2 linked regions of the Schizosaccharomyces pombe genome follow. The gene in region 2 interacts genetically with the main gene of each other region. Each region holds a gene or a part of one and is shown on either strand. Other genes may lie near its edges.

Region 1 (5,529 bases), on a different chromosome or scaffold from region 2:
CAGCTATCACGAGCAAATAACCCTAAAAAAACAAATTTCTGATTTACAGGAATGGCGACAGATGGGTCTTACTACACTCGAACAAGGACATAAATATGAACGCGATAAAACGCAAAAATTCCTCTTAAGTAAAGCTTCTGCTTCATATGATAAGCAATTGAGGCATGTTAAGTCGTTTAACCAAACCACTTCCGCTCCTTTTCAAGTTCGTGACATTCAAAAGATTGTTCCTCGAAAACCAGCGACTCCCACAATGTTTTCTGCTTCCGCTGATCGGCAACTGCTTTCAGAGGATGAGCAAGCGCTTTGCTCAAAACTGCAGATTTTCCCTAAACCATTTTTGGCTCTAAAATTTGCCTTAATATCGGCTTCACTGACTTCCAAAAAACCATTTCAAAAAACCGATGCAGTTAATTTATTTAAACACTTAGACGCTAATAAAGTCGAACAGGTGTACGACTTCTTCCATAATGCTCGGTGGATTGGCGCTCCAACCTAAAAGTACTGGTTTCTTTTACCTTTTTCATATTACTCTTGTTTATTACCTTTACGTTTTGAAATGTAATTTTACTAATTACCCCTTCACCTTTAATTACATCTCCGTCTTTTTTTCCCTTTTCAATAGCCGTTACGTTCTTATGCTTAATAATTAAAAAGAGTTTTCCATCAATTTTCTACACTAGTAATTTCGGAAACTACAAGAACAAAAAACACTACATCCAACAATATCTGAGACTTTTTCTCAGCTGACAAAAAATAAATAATCTTCAAAGACTTGAGGTTGTCAGTAATAATAATAATAATAATGATAATAATAATAGTAATAGAAAATGATCTTGTACGACAAAAAAAGATGACAATAATGAGAAATGAACGAAGCTTTGGCCTTTATAACATACAAATATGTAAAAGAGGCAAGAAAAGCGGCATGTATGAGTAAAAATGAGAAAACTTTCAAAATAAACAAAGAAGTGTCAAATTCATCACCTAATGACACTTCCAGGTGCTATTGTATTAATGTCGTCGGATGTATCAATGGTTGTTGGTCGTTGATAGCTCCAATTGGCAAACCTTTGTTGAACGGTTTCAGATAAGTGAGAATCGGCAACAACACTATCCATTGGGATTTCCGATGTAAATTCAGAATCAAAATTACTAGTATCGATAGCTGATTCAACGCTTGGTTTAAAGGGTGGCTGTATCTTCTTGGCGCATAACTTTTTCCAGTCGATATCATCAAAGAAAGGGTGATTTTTTATTTCTTGCGCCCCTCCACTACCCAGCCGCTTCTCTGGAGCGCGGGTCAACAATCCACTCAATAAATCTTTTGCTTTCTCGTCAATGTTGTCTGGGAATCGCAAGGGATCTTGAAGAATTTTTCGGTACATTTCGTTTATATTTTCATCATAAAAAGGAGGAAGTCCTGTAATCATTTCGTAAAGTAGCACACCTAAAGTCCACCAGTCAACAACTTTTGTATAACCATGACCCAAAAGCAATTCAGGAGCGAGGTATTCAGGGGTGCCACAAAAAGTATTCGTTCTATCGGTTTTAGCCATGTTTAGCTTACAAAGTCCAAAATCACACAAAGCAATATGACCGGTGTAGTCTAATAATATGTTTTCCGGTTTTAAGTCTCGATAAATAACGTTGAACTCATGCAAACATTCCAAAGCAACAAGTAGTTCAGCAATGTAAAATTTGGCACGATATGTATCAAAACAGCCTTCTCTTTGTAAGTGATGAAATAACTCACCACCGTTAACAAAGGCCAGGACAAGATACAGCTTACCGGGAGATTGAAAGGAGAACTTTAATGGAACAATAAAAGGGTTATTAACTTGAGCAAGTACTGTCCTCTCAGCCAATGTGTGATCTACTTCACTGCGAGATACAATGTGGGCTTTTTTCATAGTTTTTAAAGCATAGATACGAGAAGTGTCACGCTTACGCACTTGCATGACTTTTCCAAAAGAGCCTTTGCCAACCACTTTCAATAGTTCAAATGCATCAATGGTTAAAGGGGTACTTTGATTGGGTTTGTAAAGCATTTGAACACGAAGTTCACCGCTACCCCCATGCAGGGGTACCCATTCGTCTGTAAGCTTGTTTACAATGAAAGAAGGCGACAGTTTAATCCCGCCTAGGAAAGCGTCATTCCCCATACCGTTGCGCGAGCGGCTGGATGAAGAACGAAGGTAAATATTCAGGGAGAGTTTGGAATAACGGGAAACGTCAAAAGTTGCCTGATAATCCCAGCAAGGATTTTCAAGGCTTGCAGTATTTAGAGCATCTACTAAGATTTCATTTTTGTCGAATTCAACGACGATATAAGGTAACCACCAAGCATGACTACGAGACCTTGCGTGTCCCGAGCCATTACTAAGTGGAGGGGCAAGTAAAGAATTGTCAATGGAAACCCCGTAGTTGGCAGGAACATGTCCCGACGGTAATTTTAAATTTCTAGCTTCTATAATTGTGACCTGCAATAAACCAGGCTGCACGACGGTACTTTGGGGAGACCGTTTATCCTCCGAGCTTTTCCGAGATTTTTCATCACTTGATTTACGAGAAGAAGTAGAGGATAAAGTACTGTTTTTCAGACCTCTAGTAAAACTAGAGCCGCCAGAGTTCAGGCCAATAGCGGATGCTAGATGAGTTTCTTTTAATTCTAAAAAGCGAAAAGCTGTTAGTATGAAAAAGAAAGACAGAGTGTGATAACCCGTATTATGGAATACATACTCTTTGTAAGTTTCCAGGACATTTCGGTAACGTCTGTTTGGAGTAGAAAAAAAAAATGAACTGATTTTTAAAAGCTCGCTTTCCCTCTATCTTTTCTTTTAATATAACGAAAATGATAAAGAATAAGGTAACGAGGCTGCAAAAAAGCTTCAATCTAACAAAAAACGTATTTATGGACTAATTCGAAGACAAAAACGGGAAGTGTACCAGTAAGCGAATACGAACGAACAATCAAATCAAATCCAAAAAAAAAATAAAATAAAAAGTAAGCACAAGTTGCAATTTTTTTTGAATAAACGAAAGGGGATACAGGCGTTTGGTAATGTCAGTATAGTAGTAAATTCGTCAAAGAAATCTAATCCCGATAAGTAGTAAGCAAGGGTGTTGATTTTAAAATTCAAAATAAATCGCAATCTCTTTTATTCCAAAATCCCTACTAAAGGAATGCTTCGTTGATAAAGTCGATTTCTAAGCCGATTTTGGTATTACGACTTTGAGCAAAGTCGCCTTCACCTCGCGGAAATTTTGACGAAATTGAAACCAATCGACAGCACTAAATACGTTAAAGTCAATGAAATAAAATTTGATGTCAAAAATGCTTTCGTTTGATATTCCCTTTGTTAGGTCGTATTGGCAGTCAGTAGATGTGGCCAGCTCGGATCATCCGTATTCCTAAAATACAAGTGGTACAAGACAGCAGCTTTTTGCGGCAGAACAACGTGAGTTCGATAAAATATTATAAGGAGAGCTACCGATACGGTCGGCACATTACGCAGGTTTGTCGTATAATGATCAAAAATTATAGACCCTTTTCTCGTACGATTGCACTATATATAAAAGTTCTTTGCAATGGTGTTTTACATATCAGCTATTAAATTAGTTAACTTAGTAATGTCAAAAAGATGGAATATTAATATAGAGAAATTAAAAGTGCTGGTGTACTCTTGTAAGTGGTAACTTGCTCAAGTTTGTAGTGACCTAAATTGAAACATAGGATTTATACTACACGTGTCAAGAAACAGCACTCAAATGGATCAATTTACAAAACGAAGTATATAGCAAAACAATACAAATAATTATCTTGACAATTATCTGCGGACAAACGCAAAATGCCGTTTACGCGTATGTGTAGCTTAGCAGACCAATTAACTTTATTTGTTTTAAAATAATTATAGAAGCATGTAAATACCACCGTTAGGATTGCAATATCCTCTTTACAAAACAAGTCATTTATTTATGCCTTCCATCAGATTTTTGCAACTTCCAAGTACGATGCGTTTTGTAAAATTTCAGTTCCTTGTGCAACAAGCGAAAAAAAAAGATAAAGCAATTTAACGGAAAAGCAATTTGTATACCAATGCTCTACTTTTAATACACTGGACGCTTCGTACAAGTCCTTCAAAGTGTATATAAATCCAAAGAGAACTGAAAAACAAAAAACATTTTCAAATAAAATAAAATAAAATAACATATAAAACAGAAATAAAACATGAACAATGAATTTATGAAAAGAACGAAATTTGTTGAAACTGATGACTCACTCAACTGTAGGCAAACCCTTACTTACCCATGAGAAAAGCAAATTCTTTTCGTAGTTACTTCTAGAAGGCTCCTCACTAGTAAAAGCGATGTTTCTTCAGAGTTTTGAATTTTCTCACAGAGAGCTCCCTTTGTGTGTTTTATTTAAAGGGATGAGACGAGTTTGCCAAAGCGCCTAAAAAAAGAAACCGGTTATCGAGCGCAGATATAGAATTGACAGTGTAAGTAGCAACAAAAATTTTAAAAGAGTAAAGTAGAATCAAAAACTATATCTAAGTTTAGAAAATCCCTAAAGAGAAATTTTCAGGTGAATGTTAGGGGGTAGGTTCCGGTTGAATTTTTAAAGGACTAAAGCGGCAAAAGCAGCAATGCTCAAGAGTGAAACAATCAATAATGAACTCTTGGAAAACCGGACAGGGGACCCACTCTCCATCAATTCGCGCCCTGTATTGGGAATGGATGCTGCGTATCCAATGGATCCGGCAGGTGCAGAAGTGTAAGTAGTAGATGGTTGATATTCGGTGTAACTATAAGGACTAAAAATAATATTAGTAATTTTACACAAACAAATAGTTTCCATAAAATGACAAGCATGACTTACAAAATGGTTTCTACACCATCCGACCAAGATTTGTCGGTGACAATCACAACATCGCTCACAGTAGTAGAGTAACTTGCCTGAGTTGAACTAGAATCATCATCCCTCTTAACAAATGGGGTCAAAGGAATTTTTGAGGGCAAAACACGATTAGCTAAATATACTGAGTTAGCTATTTCACATAGTCACAAAATATAAAGACAGAGACATAGAGAATAGAGAAGGGATGTAAAAAGAATACCAAAGTTTAAATATTAAAATATTTAAACAATGATTAAATGACAAAAACTCGGTCTACGACATTATACAACATTAAGTGCACGAGTTGGATGGACAGCAAACTTTTTACATAGCCTCAATGTACTTACTGTAGAGCAATTCAATTTCAGATAAATGCTCGAGATCTCCAATGGGAGCCACCAAAGTAGCGAAAGCACCCTGAATGATCAAGAATGAAGCAAAAACCAAAAGCGATGAAACTTTTCCAAACATTTTGCAAATGGATAAGAAGTACAGCTTTTAAGCACTAGATAAATAAAGAAGAAGGGAATGGTTTATCAATTAGCAGCACACAGCAAAGTAGATATATATACCAATATATATGCCACTGGTTTAGGTTAATGTTACGTACACGCACCGTGACAGCCGTA
Region 2 (5,741 bases):
TGAATATGAAGCTATAAATTTCTCATGCGATTCCAATAGTACTACCGCATCCGAGTATACATATAGCGCATAATTGGAAGAAATGCAATCTGCTGGTACAACATCAATAACCTTACCAAAAGTTGGTTTAACATCTGCTTTTGTAACTGAATTTCTTTTAAAAGTAAGAGCTGACCAATCAACTGACCAAAGAGATACAGATCCATCTGAATAGGCGACAGGGATTAATAAAGCTTCGTCTTTGAACGGAAACAAAATAGGCCAGTCCTCATGACCAGTCCAAGTCGCAACTATCTGAAAGTTGGAGATTCTAATGAGATATATTTTCAAAAAGGTTCCGGTAACAGCAAGAAAGTTGTTATTTAATCTAAATAGCTTTAAACATAGCCCGTCACACAATTGCAAAGTAGCTCGTCGGTCACATGTTTTCAGTAGCCATTGACAAAGTAATCTGAGAAAATGTTAGCAAGAAATAAGTTAAATAATGAATTTGATAATTGCTGCTCGGCTAATGAGAGTTGCTCAACATACCCAGATTCGTCGAGTGTAATGATTGATAGGTCTACAATTCCATCAGCTTCAAATGGAAGGCAAACTATAGAAGAAACGGAATGTTTGTGTGCTATAAATGTTTGGATCAAAGTGAAATGATTGTCTGTAGAAACGTCAAATACCATGACTTGGCCGGAACATTGGCCTACTATCAAATACTGATCAAAACAATGTATTGAAGACACGTCAAGGCCTTCATCTAACAAATGAGTTTTACAGCTTTTCGACAATGCAACCCAATCCATTTTGATTCGCAATCAACAACGGTCTAAGGCTGACATCAATTTTGAACGCTGTTCGAACACGGCTTCCCAAATAACCACTCAATTCAGTAATTGTTAAACCTTTTTAAATATAAAAGTAATTGAAAACGCAGAAAATGAAATTAAAACAATATTTAGGCAGACTAACAGTTGCCGCGATATTCTTGAATGTAAAATTAGCAAATTCGGAACGCAAACGAATAAACAAGATGCAACAAGTATTTGAGGAAGAGAATCTAAGAAAAATGAAGAACTTGCAACAGCCATAGACAAGAATGTCTAACAAATAGCCATGTAAACAATTCGTCCATCCGTCATTTAATAGAATGTATGCATCGACAGCTCCGATTGTATCAATCATTACATAAATCTCTTCATTCTTGAATTATATACAACTTACACTTCTCCAAAATTTATACCACTGCACACAACTTCGAATTCCACTCGGTGGTGGGAATGTGCTGCTGTGCTACTTGAAGCACGCGAATACTATATGACCTAGTTGATGGGGCGATGCCCTTGCTTCCAAATCTTGACAATACTTAGTAGTAAGAATACAGCGTACAAACGAGTTTAAGTTATAGTAAACGAGCATTATTTAATAACACAAAAGAGTATTGTTGTACATAGAAAAAAACCGAAAAAATTGCTAACAGTCTTATTTTATTCAATTTGCCAAATAAACAGAACATTTACATACTTCAAATGTTGTAAATTTCGCACTGCAACTAGTATTCAAATCTCAACCTGGAAAAACGATATAACGAAATTGAAATATACTTCAGACTGTAGCATCATCTACTGTACACGAGGCAAACTTAAGTCATAGTATGTGTAAAATAAGTTAACAATTCCATTCCAAAGCTGCAACATTTAACATATACCCTAATAAACTCTGCCGTCCCGATTACCGAGCTTTCTCAAGAATTTTGTAATCCTTCATTGAAGCACCTTTTTTTTTCATATTTATATATAAATATATATATTAATATATACTAAATTTTATTTTTATTTTTATTTTTTGTGGAGTTTTATACTACAGAAATACAATTGTCACGTTAAAAATTTCAAAAACTATCTATTAACTGCTGCTTTTTGTGTATTTATATATTTAATTTACTTTACTTCGTTTGTGGTGGATCTAAGTTATAACATTACGAAGCAACATTCTCTTATTGTAGTAGGAAGTAGTACAGTGCCGAAACTGAGGCATCATCACAAAACCCTTACTCAACACCATTTACTGTTTTATCCGTTTCATTAGATTTTTACGATATAATGAGCGTGGATGTAAGTATAGATCTAATGAATCTTTGCAAAAATTTTAAACTAATTACATAAAAGACGGCTAAAAGTGATATTCAAGCGGAACCTTCAACTGGGACGCTGGAAAATAAATCCTCTAAAACGTACTCAGATTCCGAGAATAATTCCACGTTGGATGTTTCAGCTCAAGTACTCACATTGGATAATAAATCCAGGATCTTATGTATTGCCGATGTTCGAGGTAAGTATGCGTTGTTTATGGATTTAGAGCTGCCAGCGAGAATTCAAAAGCACCCCATCGGGGGAATTATCGACGATCGTTTTACTTTTTAAGATAAGAAGATGCGAATTTGTATGCTTTTGCATGAACTTATCCATAATGGCTTAGCAGGAGTTGAAGCGCAATTGCTCAATTTACTCATTTTGTCATTAAAGATCCTCGTTGGTTCGTAAAAGAATTTTGTCCATACACTTTATTCTCCTTAGCTATTCCTATCCTTAAAATTACTACTCTTTAATACGCGTTTTTACTAATAACTATCCCTTCAGGTGAACTGAGTTTAATAAATAGCCTGGTTGAGGAAACCAATGCCTCCTGTGTCATCCACACTGGTGACTTTGGATTTTTTGAGCGATCCTCACTTCCTAGCATATCTGAACGGTATGTTTTGTGTCAAAAATTTTTATGTTTCATTTTTCTTTGTTCTAACCTTTTTTCAGTACTCTTCGTCACATTGTCCAATTCTCGCCTCTCATAAAAAAGCTTCCTAGGTCCAAAAACTTTGATTATTATCCCTCGAATCCAATTGGGGATTTGAAGAATAGTATTGCTTCTCACCCCGATTGCCTGCTTTCAGAATTACCTCAATTTTTGTCACAAGAGAAGAAATTCTCAGTCCCTGTATATGTAGTATGGGGAGCTTGCGAAGATGTGCACGTTTTGGAAAAATTTCGTTCTGGAGAATATTCTATTCCAAACCTTAACATAGTGGACGAACTTCATTCCTACCTATTGCAAATTGGAGATATGAAAATCCGTTTACTTGGTCTTGGAGGTCCTTATGTCCCTTTTAAGCTTTTTGACAATGGAGACGGTAAAGGAACTATTGCTGGTGGCCAGGGTACTATGTGGACTACAATCCTTCAAATGGGTGAACTAATAGAAACCGCTAAGAGCCTGCTTGACAGAGAGGAGGCACGTATTTTTATTACGCATCATCCCATTGGAAGAGAAGGTGTTCTTTCTCAATTAGCTACTGCTTGCCAGGCTGACCTGACTTTATCCGCCGGTCTTCATTTTCGTTATGGAGCTAGCTACAATGAGTTTTGCGTAAATCATAGTCCTGAACATTATCTTCAAAAACTTTCGGCTGCCCGTGCACAGTTTATGGAAGTGTATGACACTGTTAAGGCTGAGGTTGAGAAGATGGTTACCCCTGAACAACATCATCTAATAAACAATGTTGTTCGCCTAGTCTCTCGCATGCCCGATGCAACTAACTCATATGCTATGAATAACATGCTTCCCGGCACTGCTTTTAAAAACCTATGGAACTTCAATTTATTAGATGCTTCCTTTGGATGGACTGTTTTTGTCGTCGAAAATGGGCATGTTCAAGTGGAAAGCAAATCTCATGGCTTTAATTTAGGCTATCGTCGCATGGCTTCACGTCGTAACGAAAATTATGCATCTCACATTCCACGCTCAACTTCGGAAAATACCGGTACCTATTATTACGCTAACAATAGGTTGGTGGAATCTCAAGCACAGTTTACCAAGAACAGAGAAGCTACGGCTACACCAACCGAAGAAGAACAGATTGAAGGGTACGATCAGGAACATACTGATGAGCTAGGAATGTCAAGAGCGAATACTACAGAAGAGTCGGCTGAGACTCATGAAGTAATCGAAGAGAAGTCGGGACCACCTGCTGCCGAGGAAGAACCCATTTCTGGCGTAGCAGAGAAGCCTAGTCCTAATGAAGAAGAACAACCAGCAATTGGAGGGAAAGAGGAAGTTGACGTTGAAGAGGTGACTAAGGGTACTGGAAATCTCGAGCTAGGTGAGACGACTACAGAGGTTACCATACTTGAACAAGAGAATGCTGCAAATGTTACAAGATCTCAAGCACAAGAAGGTAGAAGAACTGATATGCAGAAGGGCAACGATCGTGAATTCCGTCAATATAGTGGTGAGCAGCGTTATGAACGTTGTGGATTTCATATTACCCCTTGCAATTCTGAAGAGGAAGCCCGTTCTTACTTTAAGGACGGGACAGACAGCCTGATTACGAATATTCAAATTCGTACTTCACTCAATCGTTACAAAAGTCCCCAAGCTCCTCAAAACGTAAACCCCACTAACTATGCATATGTATTTGTTGAAAACCAGAATGCTGTTTCAAAGGCCCTTGGAAGCATCAAAGTTCCAGAAGGTGTGCGGGTGAATATCATGCGTGATGATTCGTACTATCGTCAAAATAGAGGATGGTATCGAAATAACCGGATGGAGGGACATGGAACTGGAATGCGTACCAATCGTGGACGTGGACGAGGCGGCCGAATGAACAGAATGCAGCATCCTCGTCCATTACAAAGCGGTGGAAGTGTCAATAAACAAAGCGCTGAACCTACTACCCATGGTTAATGATGAATATTTTTTGCACTGTTTTCAATGCTGTTTTAGAACTGATTTTTATACCATCTTTTCACCTTTTTACTGATGTTAATGCAAAAGTTTACCTCATGAATGATGAAGTTTTCATGAAATTTATCTGACGCACTCATTTACCTCAATAACTGCGAAGCCAAAATAACTGATATGACTCTTTTAAGATATCTTTTTCGAATTCGGTTGTCATTGACAAAAGGGTGCTTACTTTACTTTCTTTCATATCGACTTTGTTTAGAAATAATAAAGTGATTTTTGACAAGATTGATTCGCAGAAAACTATATAGTAAAAATAATTAATTACTTTATGCTAGAATAGCAGTTATTAGCCTTTTCTTCTTAGAAAAGATGTAAGTTTTAATAGATCAAATTCATTAATTAAATAACCAAGTTGAAATTTAAAACACTCACAAACAATAAGCTAGCTACTCAACTAAACAATTTTTTTTTGTTTTTGCAACACAAGGTCCCAACCCTTACCGTATGTTATTGCGGGATGGCCGTATTCCACAGTACAGTATTTACCCATTGCCAGTTCCGCCGATGAATTCTAAAACGCCCACTCTAGGAATAGTTTGTTCAGAGGGGACCATTTCCTTGTCTTTGGAAGAGGGTTTTGAGTTTGTTGGAGTTCCGTTAAGTGGTGAAGGTTTAAAGCTACGAGTTGAAGCTCTAGCTCCGTCAGAGCGTTTGCAGGAATTCCTCGACGATGAAGTAGCTTATCACCCTGAGGGTATGTTTCAAATTTGAAAGAAAATTTATATTAACCAATTTTACTATAGAAAATGTGCACAAGGTGGTCGGTTTATCCTCAGCTTGGCTGGAGTTAGATTCTGAAGACACACTAATCGCTGATCGATCAGAAGAAGTGTTATTAAAGGAAGCATCATATGCTTCTTATTGTGGGTTATCTTCAATCATCCTAAATGGTCCAACTTCACCAATGAACGTTATGCGTTATGCGAGAGCTGTATCTTCTGCTTTAAACT

Evidence for each region.
Region 1: of SPOM_SPBC16H5.12C (region 2) and gad8, changing one suppresses a phenotype caused by changing the other (phenotypic suppression), as found in Schizosaccharomyces pombe (one study listed by BioGRID).

What each region holds. Positions count from the first base shown.
Region 1 is NC_003421.2:910,352-915,880, reverse strand, and holds gad8 (serine/threonine protein kinase (AGC family) Gad8), read right to left. Parts: upstream 3,382-5,529; 5' UTR 2,765-3,381; coding exon 2,743-2,764; intron 2,672-2,742; coding exon 984-2,671; 3' UTR 643-983; downstream 1-642. Other genes in the region: SAGA complex subunit Ada2, read left to right, coding at 1-499; SPOM_SPCC24B10.06 (uncharacterized protein), read right to left, coding at 4,622-4,817, 4,883-5,033, 5,248-5,371. UniProt on the Schizosaccharomyces pombe protein: Involved in a signaling module for sexual development and cell growth under stressed conditions. Required for G1 arrest under nitrogen starvation and for growth at high temperature and osmolarity.
Region 2 is NC_003423.3:2,271,980-2,277,720, forward strand, and holds SPOM_SPBC16H5.12C (uncharacterized protein), read left to right. Parts: upstream 1-2,047; 5' UTR 2,048-2,093; coding exon 2,094-2,105; intron 2,106-2,159; coding exon 2,160-2,322; exon of another isoform or gene 2,323-2,630; coding exon 2,631-2,742; exon of another isoform or gene 2,743-2,801; coding exon 2,802-4,728; 3' UTR 4,729-5,016; downstream 5,017-5,741. Other genes in the region: wdr7 (WDR7-like protein), read right to left, coding at 1-451, 532-797; protein arginine N-methyltransferase Skb1, read left to right, coding at 5,296-5,485, 5,535-5,741.